2 linked regions of the Saccharomyces cerevisiae S288C genome follow. The gene in region 1 interacts genetically with each later gene. Each region holds a gene or a part of one and is shown on either strand. Other genes may lie near its edges.

Region 1 (3,117 bases):
TAACATTTTCTTTATTCTATAATAGCACAGTGACACTTAAACGTCAAACGTGGCGCACATTAATATACGATGTATGCATTTGGCTTGACACTGCTGTAATAAGGAACATCATCATCCGTCAACTAGTAGTCACATTAGTAGTGTATTATCACATGGTGTGTAAGAACATTACGTAAAGATTGAAAAAAAGTCATCAAAAATAAAGGAAGCTGAAACGCAAGGACTAGTAGTGTAATAGAATAATATTGTGTAAAAGTATCGATACCCTTTTTGGAATTATTGTATCTTCGAGGGTGGCTTTTAATATATTTTTGAAAACCTAATATTATAACCTTTCACAACAACGAAATCCCAACTGTTGTGTAATAATTTTACTCAATTCTTACTATTGCTTTACCAATCCTTGTATTTGAGCTCTCATAAAGTTCGCTGACTACTTCTCACGACTCATGTCATCTCCTTATACTGTATATGATAATATACTGGTGGTGAATGACAGCAAACTCTTTCTGGAAAACTTCTTGTCCTAAAGAACAAAATCAGTGTAATGTGTAGGCCAGTGTTATGTTTTCATGAATATGACATCTGATAAGAATAAAACAACTGGTAAAATGACTGCTTTTTCGGCTTATAAAATTCTAACATGTACATATTTTTTATAAAATGAAAATACTATTGTCCTTAATTGTACAATTTTTACATTTGGAGGCCAAATTATAAAAATAATAGCGCTGCTACTCCAACTATATAACCCATGTTCTTGGATTCAACCTTCATACCAGCACCTTCATAGACAGAGACATTTGCGGTACTACTTGGGGTAGTAGCAGCGGTAGTCTCAGGTCCAGACGCAGTGGCTTGGATTTGACCATCACTGATCTGTGAAATAGCGGCATCTTGCTTTTTGCCGGGTTGATGATCTGCAACAGCGCTTCTATTGGAACGATACAATGAGCCATTCCAACCACCCACATCATATACAGCTGCATTAGATATCTTTTTCTGCTGAGCTGCTAAGGACCAAGATGCGCTGCTGTTGAAGGCTTCATCAGTCGAATTAAATTTTCCTTCTATGTACGAGTTCGTACTATTCGCAAATTGTACGTCCAACGTGTCTGAGGAGTTGCTTACTTGTGCATGTGCAACTAGAATATTGGTGATGGCAAACAATGTGGAAACTAAAGTGCACTTCATGGTAGATTAATTATGATGTTCGTTTGATTCTGTTCTATATTTTTTATATGCTGACTGAACAGATTATAAAAATTAAATTACATGAAGTATTGAAGTTAATGTTGGCTATTTTTGAGGAGGAGGTTCACCTTTATATAGTATTCCTCGAGCTACAAAAACATGGATATTTTTACAAATGCTAGTAAAAAGGAAAGAGGTCAAAAGAAACGTTTGGCATCAAAAGTAATCAAAGTGGGGTCTAGATTTATAATTTGTACTACGAAGAATCGCGACTCAAGGTACCAGGTACGACTGAAACTTTCTTTTTGGATTTTCGAAGAGAGAAAAATTAGTTAGCATAAAAAGAAATATAAAAAAAAAGGAAAGGAAAAGTGTTCGAGACTTTACCATACAAAGAAATATTACGGTAGAAAAAAGAGCTGCACTTACCCAATACATATTGATGAGGTAGTATTCACGGTGAGAACAACTTACATCAACACCTCAGTTTGCCGAATCTGCAGTGATATTGTATCCAAAGTCTACTTTTCATCCTCATTTACTGTCATTACAGAAATTTGTCAGGAAAAGCAACCGGGTAAGGGAACTTTCAGGGCCAACGCGAAAAAAAAAAAGGTCCATCCATAGATTTTTTAGAAGATACACACCGTGAATTGATTAGAGATCATAGTAACCTCAAAATATACAATGTCTTAGATTGGAGCAGGCAGAAATATCTATCAGAGCACAAAATGGCTAGAAATAGAACAACCTCCAAGAAAAATGTTCAAAGTAAACGCTTAATAGACAGAGTGGTTCCCATGGACAAGATTAAAAAAGTTGGCGTAGCGAAAAAAAAAACCGTAGAACACACTAAAGAAGGATTTAGCGTTGTCAACGGTAAGCTAGTAAGCAGCAATGACGTCGGTGTACTGTTAAGAGAAGCACAGGGTGCTATCGATAAAAGAACTAATGTTTCCCAAAGAAATAGGAAAAAGGGAATAAAGAATAATAGGCCCCACAAAGACATAAACAGCAGTCCTGACTGGGGCAATGCCCACAGAGGAACCGATTGGCAGAGCGAAAAAGCAAACGGCATGAACAGGGCCAAGAACTCTCGGAATTTTACCACTAATATTAAATTGCAGCGACAACATTTTGGCGAAGAAATACAAGGTGGCAGCCAGCTTGTGATATCTACAAATTCAGATGCTTCAGATAAATTGTTAATGCTATTCAACCTAACTTTGGGAGTAAACCAAGAAAACTTGAAAAATGTTCTGGAAAACATTTCTCAGGTGCAGATAGCTCAAATTAGGGTTAGAGACCTGCCTTCAGGATCTGCCACCGCTAAGGTCCGTCTGGCATATCCTACAACACAGTCTTTGGAGAAGGTAAGAAAACTGTTCCATGGCGCTCTAGTTGATGGAAGGCGCATCCAAGTGGTGATTGCATCTGATGAATCGTCCCACTTGTCGTATTAGAGTTTGTCAACGACACTCACAAGGTATTTAATCAGCAAAATCCCCGCCACAAACTATTTTTTTGAAGACATGCTTTCTCATGACTGCCTAATAACAATACCTCATTCTACTAGTAATCGACCTATGTAATTATTTCATAAACTATAAAGCAGGTCATTGCAATAACAGAAAGGCCGGTTTTTCTATAAGCTTATCTCATCGCATAAAAAATCGACAGTTGTAATTATCTCCGGCGGACTTTTCCCTTTCCGTCTTTTTTTTCAAAATTTTTTTTTTTTTCACTTCTTCTTTCAAAGCTGCCTCAAAAGAGATATATATATTGGTAAGAATCCTCTTCCAATACTAGCTTCATTTCTTCTTGAACCATGAACCCGTTATTCTTTTTGGCTTCTCCATTCTTGTACCTTACATATCTTATATATTATCCAAACAAAGGGTCTTTCGTTAGCAAACCTAGAAA
Region 2 (3,926 bases), on another chromosome or scaffold:
CGAACCTTCCATTGTAGATATTTTGGATATCTGAGATATCATCCCTGTAGAGGCAGCTTTATTCAATCCTGCAGCCTGCACTCGGGTTTTCAGAGCATCTATTGGAAACATCAAAGAATGCTCCATTATACCTGCAAATGCTCCTGCCAGTAACTGGGAATGTAGCGGAGCATGTGATGGAAGAGCTTCGTAGTCGATTTCCTCAGCTATTGACAGTTCTGAAGTATTCATAATATTAACTGATATTTCGGTTGAGTTTTTTACTTCTTCACTTTGTACTTCTCACGAAAGTCTTCGTCAATAAACCTCTGATAAAGTGAAAATTCTATGAGATTCCAATAAAACCTCCAAATATCTTTATATACAGCTTACTACTTAGATAAGATGACGTTCGCCAATGGTAGGCAAAAGATAGCAGGGTGTTCTTGCCTTTCAGTCTTCGCCATGCTCTCATTCAAGAAAGGGTGCCAAAATACCGAAAAGAGACACGATCGGGGGTGTCAAAGTAGCGATTCCTGTGGGTTAAAAGAGGGTGAACCACGGCAAACATGCATGTGTAAAACCCAAAACGCCGATCTAGGGCCTGCGACGCATGGTACGAACATCCTGAAGGTATATAAAAGAGCTAAAGTCTTGACTCATGCCTGAAATCTTGATTTTTCATTGTTATATCCTCTCTATACATTAGTAAGCACCATAGATGGGCTGGCTATCAAAAGCGAGAAAAAAAAAATGCTGAATTCCAAATATGTACTCATCGGGGTGAATTTCAATGATGTGTTATGTAGATACAATATATATGTATAAGTCACTAAATGCATACATACGAGAGTCTACCTTAAGTTTGTCCAAGTGAAAAAAACTGGGCATAGCAAAAAGACGGTTGTAGGTATACCTGCGTATATGAGAAACCTTCCGACGATTTCCACTTTGGAAACACCGCTGTACAATAAACACTCTTCTTCTTCACTTGTCTCGTTATGGAAATGAACCTTTTCGCTTCTATCATCGTGAAATCTGAGTAGTTTAATTAACAGCGTGTAGACAGCTGTCTTGCTAATGACGTCTTTCCAAACAATCACAGAAGCGACACCTACCAGAGGCCTCAAGAACACCTTAGAACCACATGATGCGTACCTACTACATACAAGGTTCCATCCGTATCTTTCGGTTAACCAGTCGCTGCAATCCAGCCCACTGACTACGCCAATGAACGCTACGCTATCTTCGAAACAAGGACATTCATCAATGGGCCTGACGTGGTTAAACAGAATAAACAAGCCCCATGCTACACTCAAAAGGGGAAACCAGAGATGTTCACCAATCTGGAAATTTCGTAAAGCATGCACCACCCAGATTCTTATAAAAAAACAGATAGCTCCAACTGCGGCGCCGCTAAATAAATCCAGCATACCATGCATACCGCAGTAAACTCTACCAAAAACCAGGGTTAAGTAGTAAAATATCACCAGACTCAGTAAAAGAAGCTTTGTTGGCCATACCAGTGTGTCAGATAAACATATTCTCCAAAAGAATAATAGACTTACCGCAGTAGCGTTAGCAGAATGTGAACTGGGTGCACCATATTCTTTCGTAGTGTATTCACTTAGTGTGATTCTGTCAACTGGCGGTGATTTTGGCCTTGGTAGGCACCAATAATCCTTTAAGTAGCCACTCAAATAAATTGAATAACCAAGAACGTAGATCATGTCCCGTGTTAAATCGCGGTATCCAAGCCACACAGGCATGGGAAGCACGATAACATAAAACATGTGGGAACCCATAAGCGAAGTGTATTTGAAATAAACGTCTCTAAAAGGCGTTCTGTGCTTTTTTTGTAAAGAATGTACGAAATCTGATTGGTTGTCTGTGAATCTAGTTAGATACTGCCTTGTTTGAAACCTTAGCCACGACATCTGGCTCTCAAAATGCTCCGCTGGATGATTACCGGGATCTGCCAATAGGTGTTTGCCGCCGGAAGGAGCCATCTGAACCTTAATGGTGTCCTCGGTAACACCCAATTCAGTAACCGTCTGAATAATGGTCATAATTAAATTCTTTTACAGGCTTGCTATTTTGTATATTTTTTTGAAGACTACCACTGCCTAACTTCTTTTTGTCATGTTATCAATTCAACTAGATGTTGAGAAGGAAGCCAAGGCAAGGCTGATAAAAACTAAGAAAATAAGGAAAAATCATTATGTTATATAACATGAATTCTAGACGTACGTGCTCGTAGTTAGGAAGTATCTAAATAAGAGTCCCCACGTTACTTTAATTAGAAGCACGCCATCTTCCTACAACCGATTTTTTTGGATTGTAGATATCAGAGTCTCATCAAACAAGAGGAACCCAGAATAGGCACGTCCACTGAGAAAACCGCGGACAAGCAAGACACGCGTACCTGAAAAGGCTACATTTCTTGAAGAAGTTGTTCAGTTGAGCTAGCCACCTCTTTAGCCTGAAGACGTTCGTAATTCAAAATAGATTCCCTTGGCAATTGAAGCCATGAACTGAGTGAATCTGCAGGCTCAATCGTATTAGACAGTATGGCAGTAAGCCTTGCCCGTTCCTCTTCTTCACTTTGTTGAAGAAGAGGCTGTGGGATTCGTACCCCAGGAACGATCTGCAAATTGTCCGAGCCGCAGAATACGTGCGCACAAAGTTTAGCGACCACTTCAAGGTCTTTCTCTTCATCGATCTTTCCTCCGTATACGATCGTAGCTATGTGATCTCGCACTTGTGCCCAAGGAATGTTGTTGGTAGAATTGGTGGCTAATACATTCTCTAAATACACTGAGGCAAATTGAAAGTCGCAATCATTAAAGTAATACTTCTTGGAAAACCCATGAGGAACCAATCGGGTCCTGGCAGTGATCAAGGCATGAAACCATGACAATAGGAAGGTACAATACACGCTCCATACTCCTGAAATTTTACCAGTGAAAAATTGAGAACCCCATAGATCTTTGACGGTATCTAGTATACCTGGGATATCCTCATACACAAATCTATCAGTTCTTTGTAGCAATGGGGCAGGTAGTTTATCACCAGTCAAATGGCATGTCATGAACATTTTGAATTTCTCATGTTCTTCTGCCGCCTTTGTCTCCTCAACATGCTTGTGCAGATACGTTTTCACCCATGATAGCGACATTTGTATGTTTTGTAATAATATCCAACCACCTTCTATCTTAGATTTTGATATTTCCTCTTGAGCATAGTTTAGATTTTCTATAGACCCTAGCGGGATGATTTTTAACGATTCCTTCGAGGCTTTCGCCAATTCGATTAATTTGAATGTGCCATCAACATCTCGCTCGCTTGCCATTGTAAAATAGTTGTTCTCGGAATTGGCTACCACATCCGCGATATTCCACTCATCAACAAAAAACTCATTTTTGAACCAGTTCAACGCAGATATATACGATTTGGTTGTAACATAGTCCCATAAGTACCGCAAATCATTATTTGTATCTACGGTTAGTTTTGGTACGCCATCGCTACTTTCAGAGAGAACTCCAATCATAGTTAGAACTGCCTCTTTATATTGTTCACTTTCAATGTCGAATTTATACAAACAAAACATCGTCATAGCCATAATCATTTTAAATTTTTTGTCAAGAGCGGTGGAGAATTGACAATATACTTCTTGATATAATAGCCAAAGAATTTCATCTACCCGTGTCCTAGCTGCTCTTGTTTCCCTAGATTTCTTAATGAAGACACGTTTGAAACATGATAGAAATTGTCCTATAGAAATGCCGTAAAACCAATGAAACTGACCAAACTTCTCCAACATAGAGAATATTTTGACACTATGCTTACCGATAATAGAATACTCTTCTACCAGATTATCAAACTGTGGGAAAAACTCTTCAGATTCACTTAGCTTTTTTTCAATGTTCATGGCCTCTTTCTTCAGG

Evidence for each region.
Region 2: mutations in ANS1 (region 1) and YSR3 together harm fitness more than expected from each alone (negative genetic interaction), as found in Saccharomyces cerevisiae (2 studies listed by BioGRID).

Annotation. Positions count from the first base shown.
Region 1 is NC_001140.6:358,988-362,104, forward strand, and holds ANS1 (Ans1p), read right to left. Parts: upstream 1,195-3,117; coding exon 715-1,194; downstream 1-714. Other genes in the region: YHR125W (uncharacterized protein), read left to right, coding at 1-176; YHR127W (uncharacterized protein), read left to right, coding at 1,926-2,657.
Region 2 is NC_001143.9:533,234-537,159, forward strand, and holds YSR3 (sphinganine kinase YSR3), read right to left. Parts: upstream 2,049-3,926; coding exon 834-2,048; downstream 1-833. Other genes in the region: MRS4 (Fe(2+) transporter), read right to left, coding at 1-231; DYN1 (dynein heavy chain), read right to left, coding at 2,414-3,926. UniProt on the Saccharomyces cerevisiae protein: Dihydrosphingosine 1-phosphate phosphatase required for efficient ceramide synthesis from exogenous sphingoid bases. Involved in endocytosis and calcium-mediated signaling.